3 linked regions of the Oryctolagus cuniculus genome follow. The protein of the gene in region 3 purifies or fractionates together with the protein of the main gene of each other region. This does not show direct contact. Links are inferred from orthologs where the notes say so. Each region holds a gene or a part of one and is shown on either strand. Other genes may lie near its edges.

Region 1 (3,658 bases), on a different chromosome or scaffold from region 3:
CTATGCCACAGCACCGGCCTCCTGTATGTTTTCTTTATGAAAGATCCAAATGGCTACAAACATCTGGGGCTGGACCAGGCTGAAGCCAGGAGTCAGGATTCATTGGAGTTTTCCAGGAGGTGGCAAGGACCCAAGTACTTGGGCCATTAGCTGCTGCCTTCCAGGTGCATTAGCAGGGAGCTGGATCAGAAGTGGAGGTTGGACTCAATCCTAGGCACTCTAATAGGGAATGCGAGCGAGTGGCGGCTGAACCTGCTGTGCCACAATGTCCGCCTGTGTTTGGTTAAAAAACAGAAACACAACGGTGTTTTCAGTTTGCCAGCTATCCTCAGCAGCTTTCAGATGACCCAGTCTACAGTGTATTGAATTGCATTGAAACAGGTCTATCTTTGCTTTCCAAATATGATTACATAGTTGCTTTTTGTTCTCTAGCATTTGTTGCTGGCACCATCTGATGTGGCAGGCTGGGGAATTTTTATTAAAGACCCTGTACAGAAAAATGAATTCATCTCTGAATACTGTGGAGAGGTAAGGCACACTAATTGCATATTCTCATATTCATTGGGCAAGTCCATTGGGTTTGATTAGAAATGAATAAAATGTCTTTCCAGCTTGACTTGGGCTTGTGGGTTTTGGTTTGGCTTAGTAACTGGAATGCTTCAGTTTTAGCCACATGTAGCTTTTAGGATTTGGGGAAAGGGGGAGCATGGGAGCTTGTATGTCTGTCCTGCTTAAATTCACAGCCTAGCGGAAGAGGACCTAGAAATGCTCTTAGGGTTAGTTGTAGGTTAAGGGAAACAATCACAGGCCTAGCTTCAGTTTGTATTGAAGCTGCAGGCCGTGGCTTTTACTCAGCAGAAACACTTTCGTTAGCCATTTCCTCCAAGCATAATCACTTGATCCATCTTTGAGCTGGAGTCCTGAAAATGTCACTGCTCTTCTTGACCAGTGAACAGGCCAAATGGGAAAGAGAGGCTGTAGTGTTCCTTTGCTTAGTAGTCTCCCTAAGACTAAATCCTCTTGAGCTTTTTGTGTGCTCTACCAGGCTGTATCACCTGCCCCAAAACACTTTATTCTTATGTCTTTCCTTTTAGATAATTTCTCAAGATGAAGCAGACAGAAGAGGAAAAGTATATGATAAATACATGTGCAGCTTTTTGTTCAACTTGAACAATGGTATGTTTGAACTAGAACTTGTTTAGTTCCTCTGGGTTGCACGTAGGAGCCTTCTGCTGAGTGCTTGGAGATGGCGTTAGAATTCCACGAGGTGACTAGGAGGACCTCCAAAGGACAGCTTGTTTCCTGAGAACCTGGGTGCTGTGTAAGCTTGGCACCCTTCGAGTCTGTCTGACCTGGGAAGGACATGGAGTGTTGCATGTGAAAGCATCGTCCAACACTTGATCTGGGTGTTACCCAAGGACTGTGAACAGGAAGCTGCTGCTGTTCCAGTCACGTGCAGGTGTTCTCAGGAACGCAATCGGAACAAGTAGTTTTTCTGTGATTGCTACATAGACAGTATAGTGAAAAAACATTAATAGAATTTTACATGTGAAAATGGATGTTTTTGTGTTAGGAATTTAGATTCCTTTTTTAGAAAGGTTTTGCTCAGCAGTGCATAGTTGATAAGTAATAGCATGAGATAGACAACCATCCTGAGTTACCAGTGATTAGTTTTAACTTAGAACAGCATTTTCTCCCAAGTATCATTTAGAACTGAATGAAGTTGACTGCATGATCTTTTTGCTTTTGAATTCAAACCCTGAAGAACTATACCCAGTTGTATTTCCAGAATAACTGTTTATTGATTGACAACAAATTATTCAGTGTATTTTTTTTTTTTTTTTTAGATTTTGTAGTTGATGCAACCCGCAAGGGTAACAAAATTCGTTTTGCAAATCATTCAGTGAATCCAAACTGCTATGCAAAAGGTGGGTACTTAAGAAGTCAGAACTGTAGCTTGATAACATGGACTCCCTTTCTTATACAGTGATGGGGGCTTGAGTAGTTCTGGGACAGCTGTATGAAGTTCCCGAGTCAGGGAACCACCTTGTGGCCTGTCTTAACGCTACCTGCTCTGACACCAGTGTATCTTTCTTTCCAGTTATGATGGTTAATGGAGATCACAGGATAGGTATTTTTGCTAAAAGAGCCATCCAGACTGGTGAAGAGCTGTTTTTTGATTACAGGTTGGTAAAAGTACATTTCTAATGTGATCTGGGGGCTTTGCCTGCCTACATGTGAACTGTAGACAAGGGCTGTTTTTCAGTTCTTTGCGAGATCGGCTGTCATTGGGCATGACTGGGCATTGTCTGCCATCGGTGTCGGTGCGGCATTGCAGCCTGCCATCACAGTAATGTCGTTTTCCACTCATCATTTTAAAAATAAGCATTACCTACACAATTAGATTAAAACCTATGCAGAAAGCCCCACTTCTCAGCCTGCCGAGAGCTGTGTGAGTCCTAGTCCTCCTGTCCTGGTGCACGCATCAAGCCTGCTTGTGGCACCTGTCTGAAGACAGTGTGATCACATCATATTTACATAGATTACTCGGCCACCTGCTTTGACTTGCCAGTATGCTACACAGAACTTTAGTTCTACACTTACATCTACTTCATCTTTTTAGTTGCTGGAAATACCCCACACCACATTATTATTTAAAAAGTCAGCACTGTTGGTAACTACCTGCCTCTGGGCTCTTTCTGGGGAGGAAAACCACTGGGATGCTGGGAGGCCTTAGGCTGGCAGTTTATACAGCTTATCAAGTTCTGTGGACTAAATTCAATGCGCTTATATATTTAACATCCAATCAGATGCAGTCAGGTGACTGTCTAATAAAGGAATCCTGTTGCCGAATATGAATCCCACGCAGAAGCTGTTTAAGAGTTGTTGCAAACCAGGGCTTAATGACTACCACCACACAGTTGACGGAGAGAACTGAGATTGTCGGGTCAGAGAGGGGGTCCTTCTCGGGGCATGGTCGTCTCTGCTTCAGTCCAGTGTGCTCTGAACAGAGAGGCAGGTGCGCCTGGGGTTGAGGGTGCCTGGAGGCTGCACCCAGTGGTCGGGGCCTCACACTTCTCTGTCTGTCCCCTCACCTTTTCACCCGTGTGCAGCTGCTCTTTGGTGGCTCAGATCACTGTTTCCAAATCACGATTACCTTTTTGTTCTACTTTCCCAGTGTTAGGCCTGTACGTCATGATGTAGACGTGCCCTCCTGGGGCAGGCTGCTGCAGTGGCGTAGGGGAATGCTTATAATGAAACAGGTTTCTCAGTTCAGAACCTGGCGACTTCTTAACTAGGCTACCAGTGACACAGAATGTGTCGCCTTCCATGAATGTACCTCAATGCCTGTAGCTGTGTAAGTGGGTGTATGTACTTATCTTTTTAAGATACTGTAAGAAGCAGGGTTGGTTGTGTGCAGTCTCACCGCATGTTGGAAAGGTGACGATTGTTTTTTCATGTTGTTCCAGATACAGCCAGGCTGATGCCCTGAAGTACGTGGGCATCGAAAGAGAAATGGAAATCCCTTGACATCTGCTACCTCCTCCTCCCCTTCCTCTCGGAAACAGCTGCCTTAGCTTCAGGAACCTCGAGTACTGTGGGCGATTTAGAAAAAGAAAATGCAGTTTGAAATTCTGAATTTGCAGAGTACTGTAAG
Region 2 (3,658 bases), on a different chromosome or scaffold from region 3:
TACCTCTTTCTGTAACTCCTTCAAATAAATAAAATATATCTTAAAATTATTTGTCAAGTCCCTAGGTACTTATTTTCTCATCTCAAAAGTATATCTCCATCAATTTATATTGTTTAAAGAAAATTACTTGAGGTAATTAGGCTTAAAATATTTAAGATCACATAAATATTTACAATTTGCATTTCATGTAAATACTTTCAAATCTACATGTCATGTAAATATTTTATTTTTTAATATGAATTCCGTTCCTAGTCATTTCTATGCCAGAATTCAAATTTTTTAAATTTTTGTTAGTTTGAGGATGTGTTAAAATTCACAGTAACTGGGGCTCTGATGTGCAAGCAGTTGTAAGTTAAAGTTCAGAGTAGTTAATGATAAAGGTTTATCCTAATGTTATGTACTTTCATCCTAGATCATGCTTTACGATTATGGAATATCCAGACGGACACTCTTGTGGCAATATTTGGTGGCGTAGAGGGGCACAGAGATGAAGTTCTAAGTGCTGTAAGTTGAAAGTTTCAGGAGAGTGACCTGCAAATTTACAAAGCTATAAACAGTCCCTATGGAGCTCTGTCCTTACAAGAAAGCATGTGTTTCTTTCACATAACCTACCAAGCAGTCATTTTACTGTTTTACATACAAGATTTTAGTCTTACAGGTGAAGAAATAAATCAAACCAGAAAGCTTGATTTTGCTTTTGTTTAAAATTGCCTGCTCTTTGATTTATATCAATACCTGGATTCTCTTGAAAGGACAGTGTGAACTTACTCCTTTCCTTTTACTATAAAATCACCAAGCTAACGTTTTACTGCTTCTCTTAGCCATTAGAAAATTCATCTTTTCTATAAAGTTGAAATGTATATTACCTCCCTTTAAGATTTAATTATTTATTTGAAAGAATTATATAGAGAGAGGGAAAGACAGATCTTCTGTCTACTGCTTCACTCCCCAGATGACTGCAACAGCCAGGGCTGGGCCAAGCTGAAGCTAGGAGCTTTATCCAGGTCATCCATGTGGGTGGCAGAGGCCCAAACACTTGGGCCATCTTCTGCTGCTTTTCCCAGGTCATTAGCAGGGAGCTGGATCAAAAGTGGAGCAGCTAGGACATGAACTGTCACCCATATGGGATGCCAGAGTCACAGAGGGCAGCTTTATCCACCACACCCCGGCACTGGCCCCAAGTTACCCACTTTTAAGAAGTTTTTATTGTGTTCATCCTGTTTCCACTCCTTTACATGGCCTAGTGTTACACAAGACCAACAGTTGATTACATTGAAAGATCACTGTTAGCTTTATGTTAATGTATTATAATCCATTGATGTGTTATAATACAAGTGTTTTTAGTCACATTTCAGACTTTTATATTTTGGCTTTATTGTGTTCCATGTATAGCTCATTAGATTTATTTCGATTTTTTAAAAAATAAAAAATTAATAAAAAATTTAAAAATAGATTTATTTATTTGAAAGAGTTACAGAGCAGGAGGGAGGAGGTCTTCCATTTGCTCATTCATTCTCCAAATGGCCACAACAGCAAGGGCTGGGCCAGGCCTAAGCCACTAGCCCAGGATGCAAAAGCCCAAGGACTTAGGCCATTTTCCCCTGCTTTCCCAGGTGCATTAGCAGGGAGCCACATTGGAAGTGGAGCAGCCAGGACTCAAACCTGGCACCTATATGGGATGCCAGTATTGCAGGTTGTTGCTTAGTTTGCTGAACCATAATGCTGGCCCCCAAACTGGAGGTACTAAAATATTCCTCTGGCTGGAGTTTGTGATACTTATACCTACATTAGAATACTGTGTCTACTTGCATTTTCTAAACGTTGAAGTAAGATCCAAGTGTACTTACCTTTATTAAGAGCTCTAACTTAGAGCTACTGCCTCTAAGGATGTCTTGTTGCTATTGATGGTAGTAGAAGTAGCAGTGACCAGATTAGTGAACTCAAACACCAAACCTAAATCTCTTAGGCACCTATAAAACAGCAATACTTAGAATTACTTTAAGGTTGGAGTATTACAAAATAAATTGGTAAGAATAAGTATTCTCCTGTAGAACTCTATTATTATTTGTTGAAGTTAGAGCAGGAAACAATATGTATCTCTGTAATGAAGGAGTACACTGCTGGAAGGATCAATGTGAGATTTTCATTAACTCATTAGGTGCCTTGTACTAAATTAAGTGGCATTTCTGGGCTTCAGTGTCTAACTCTGCAATAGGGCTGTTAAAATAGATGACCTGTTAGATGTCTTATTAAATATTAGTAAAAAGTAAATGAAAAAGTTAAATTCTGTTTGCATTTTAAATTTCTTTTTTATTTAAAAAGTGAATTTTAAAACCAGTGTTAACATTGATATATTTTGACTTAAAGGTTGTTTAAGGATTCCTGATGTCTCATATGCATATGTCGGTTTCATTGCTTAGTTAGAATTAAGAAAAGTAATATTACTATTCATCTCTTTGTGTCGTACAATAATTTTACTTCAGCATGCAGTTTACCTTCAAAATCAATCAACAGAAATGTGTAAATATATTAAATAAATTCAAAGTAAATTTAAGTAATTTACTTTTTTGTCTTCTATATTCAAAACTCATAAACTCTGATGGTGACAAACCACTTAAAACAGTAGTCAACTCTGTAATTGTGTTTCTTCTTTCTTAATTTGAGGGGCAGAGAGAGTTTACCCTTCTCATGCCTGTAACAGCCAGAACTAGGCCAGGCAGAAACTAGGGCCAGAATGCAATCCAGACCTCCCTTGTGGGTGGTAGGGATCTAAGTACTTAAACCAGCATCACCTGCTGCTTCCCAGGGTGCACATTAATAGGAAACTGATAGCAGGAGACTCAAAATCCAGGCACATATGGGATGTGGGCATCTCAAGTGGCATCTTTACTGCTAGGCCAAATGTCCACTCTAACTCCCACTTATGGCCTACATGGATGAAACCCAAAATACTGTTAATATTGTGATTTGAAATACAATTTTCACTAGATAACAGGTGAAAATTGGATAAATATAATTTGGGACTATAATTTATATACTTAAACTTTTTCTGTTTTACATATAGGATTATGATCTTTTGGGTGAAAAAATAATGTCCTGTGGTATGGATCACTCTCTTAAACTTTGGAGGATCAATTCAAAGAGAATGATGAATGCAATTAAAGAATCTTATGATTATAATCCAAATAAAACTAACAGGTAACAGTTGTAATTTGCCTTGTGGTACTGTTAACAGATGTGCTTTACTTTTTCCCAAAATTGTTATAGAAGCTCATGAAAAATTAAAAAGTTAATATGAATTTTCCATTAACTTGACACTCCTTTGGATAAGTATCCAGCATTCAGTTTAGATGTCCCATTTTCAGAAACTTAAAAAAGATTTTTAATTACTTTTTATTTGAGAGGCAGAGAGAAACAGATAGCTCCCATCTGTTGGTTCACTCCCCGGATGCCCACAAGGCCAGGGCTGGGTAGGGGCCAGAGCCAGGAACTGAGAAAGCAGTTCAAGTCTCCCACCTGAGTGACAGGAGCTCAGTTACTTTTGTCATCACCACTGCCTCTTAAAGCCGGCGTTATTGGGAAGCTGGAGTCAGGATCAGTCAAGATTTTGAACCCAGGCACTCTGATATTTGTGGTGGACATCATAATGCTAAGCTAA
Region 3 (2,409 bases):
GACTAGACTGTACAAGTAAACTGCACTAAGAACGTGGTGCAAATAGCATCAGACTCAAATGCAGCTCTTGGCCAAGTCCCTTAAAGGGCTTTCCAGCTTTGTTCAACATTTCAGTAGTTTAGAATATAGTGAAGAGAATATCATCTTCTGAAAAGGCAAATTACTGGAAATTTTTAAATTATAAATTTGCAAAAGGAACGAACAGTCATCCATGTTGTTCTTACTATACTCAATCTACTATCTCATGTAGTCATTCTAACAAGTAAGGAAAATAGGCTATTATTAAATGACCCCATTGATGTTGGGAGTTGCCAACAAAAACTTATGCAATTTAGCCTATAACTATGTTTACCCAGATCAGTCTCATTTTAATTCTTCCAATATGACCAGATCACTACACAAAGGGCCTTACTTATTGCCCCCCTCCCCTACAACCTCCCAAATTGAAAACTAGTCACTTAAATAAAAAAGACCATCTAAGCAAAGTTTTACATGACATTATATATGGAAAATAAAGTACAATTTCCAATTCAGTCTTCAAATATTTTTATTGGAAGGCCATGCATTGCCTTCATTTATTGTATTTCAAATCACTGTACAGTTACTTTTGTGAAAACACTGCCTGCATTTTCTAGTACAAAAAAAACCTAAAAATTGTTTCAGGAATGTAGAGAAATATCCAACTTAAATAGCGAAAAAGTGCACCATAATTACTGCTGCACTGCAGTCATTTCTGCATTTCCCATGTTTCTTAAATAACTATCTTGTCTGGTAACACACAATATAAAGAGCAATTATGAAAAACAGACATTTACATATACTTCTAAAGTCTTATTGAGAATATCCTGTTGGCATTGGATAACCAATCATAGGTGCAGCTGCAGTAGCAGGATATGCATATGCCTGTTGGTTCATACCATTGTGCATATTTGGAACATTACTTCCATATTGCTGAGTGCTATCATACCCATTCTGGTAAGTCCCTGTTGGATTACCAGTCCTAAAACTGGTCTGTAAACCAGCAGACACAAAATTACTTCCAAAGCTCCCATTGGTGTAACTTGCAGCACTGTAAACACCATTTTGAGTTTTTGCCCCAAAATCTCTCTTAAGCAGACTAGAGTAACCTCTGTCATAATTTTCCCTGTCTCTAAAGGTATTAAATCCACCCCTTTTGCCCGCAGAGTATCTGTCCCGACGGTCATCCTTCATGCCTCCTCTACCCCTGGAACGACCTGTCAAAAAAAAAAAAAATGTTGCAAACTTATTAATGTCTGCGGCACAATTTATTGCTAATATATAGAAAGTAGGTAATTCTAGTCATAATCATGGGTGGGAAGTATTTTTCAATTTCTCAAATTAAGTTTCACATTCAAGATTTTATTCCCCCTCTAATCCCACCTGAATGGATTTGTAGACGATGTGACCTGAAACCACCTAATTCAAGGCGAGTCTTACCTGCCCCTCTGTCTTCGACCAGCTGAAGCAACTTGGGGTTAATTGCTTGATTAGCTTCCCGAAGCACAGAGATAAGGTCGCTCACTTGCTTTATGTTATTAGGTGTAAAGAAAGTGTATGCTGTGCCCGTTTTGGTACTGCGAGCAGTTCTTCCAATTCGATGAATATAATCCTCTGAGGAGTTAGGGTAGTCATAATTGATGACAAATTTCACATCTTCCACATCTGTAAGGTGTTGCAGTGTGGCAAAATAGCAATGTATGGAGTTTTGCACACCACAACAGCCAGACCAAAAATAAAAAGTTAGACAATTGTATTCCCAAGAAGGTACGGGCTGCAAAAAATACAGTTAAAATGGTTATCCTTTCCCTGTAGGAATACCATTCAAGTTTAAAAAAAAAAAAAAAAAAAAGAGGAAAAAAAAAAAAGCACACATCAGCTGTACAAGCCATCGCCCACCCAGTGATAAAGCTTGTCGAAAGGAACGTGTGTTCCCTAGCACATTCCCAATTCAGCACGTCCCCTTACAGATCATCAAGTGACATCTGAATGCTTCTGCGCAGTAGGGCCACTTTTAAGTTTCACAGCAACCTCTTCATGTGCTCATTTTGAGGACCTTTAAACAAAAATGTACAAGGTCCTTTGCATTACACACTCATCGGAAGTTCAAAATTCAGGCCACACTGCTTGTCTTGCCAAGACCTTACAACCGCAGCTGCAAGAAAAACATACCTGTCCCCCAAAAGTTGTTTTTATGCACTGTGTCTCGTCTAGGCAAGCGCTTCCAAGAAGCCAGGATTCACTTGAGAATGTGTCTCTCTCTGGCAGGTCTCGACATGACGACTACTGTGTCACAAGGTGAGGGAGGAACTTTCAAAGCACTGTTTTCTTTTCCCACTGATTCTAAGTGTGAGAAGTTGCTCCTGCTCTAGGTCTTATGTGCCAGTACTC

The links.
Region 1: the proteins of DDX5 (region 3) and EZH2 purify together in Homo sapiens (affinity purification with mass spectrometry; 4 studies listed by BioGRID, with this or other methods). This does not show direct contact. The link is inferred for Oryctolagus cuniculus from reciprocal best matches to the Homo sapiens genes DDX5 and EZH2.
Region 2: the proteins of DDX5 (region 3) and EED purify together in Homo sapiens (affinity purification with western blotting; 3 studies listed by BioGRID, with this or other methods). This does not show direct contact. The link is inferred for Oryctolagus cuniculus from reciprocal best matches to the Homo sapiens genes DDX5 and EED.

Annotation. Positions count from the first base shown.
Region 1 is NC_091434.1:174,767,287-174,770,944, forward strand, and holds part of EZH2 (histone-lysine N-methyltransferase EZH2), read left to right. Parts: intron 1-432; coding exon 433-528; intron 529-1,094; coding exon 1,095-1,176; intron 1,177-1,847; coding exon 1,848-1,928; intron 1,929-2,101; coding exon 2,102-2,186; intron 2,187-3,470; coding exon 3,471-3,531; 3' UTR 3,532-3,658. UniProt on the Homo sapiens protein: Polycomb group (PcG) protein. Catalytic subunit of the PRC2/EED-EZH2 complex, which methylates 'Lys-9' (H3K9me) and 'Lys-27' (H3K27me) of histone H3, leading to transcriptional repression of the affected target gene.
Region 2 is NC_091432.1:77,405,102-77,408,759, forward strand, and holds part of EED (polycomb protein EED), read left to right. Parts: intron 1-412; coding exon 413-504; intron 505-3,064; coding exon 3,065-3,198; intron 3,199-3,658. UniProt on the Homo sapiens protein: Polycomb group (PcG) protein. Component of the PRC2/EED-EZH2 complex, which methylates 'Lys-9' and 'Lys-27' of histone H3, leading to transcriptional repression of the affected target gene.
Region 3 is NC_091448.1:14,232,302-14,234,710, reverse strand, and holds the end of DDX5 (probable ATP-dependent RNA helicase DDX5), read right to left. Parts: intron 1,684-2,409; coding exon 1,459-1,683; intron 1,236-1,458; coding exon 832-1,235; 3' UTR 530-831; downstream 1-529. UniProt on the Homo sapiens protein: Involved in the alternative regulation of pre-mRNA splicing; its RNA helicase activity is necessary for increasing tau exon 10 inclusion and occurs in a RBM4-dependent manner. Binds to the tau pre-mRNA in the stem-loop region downstream of exon 10.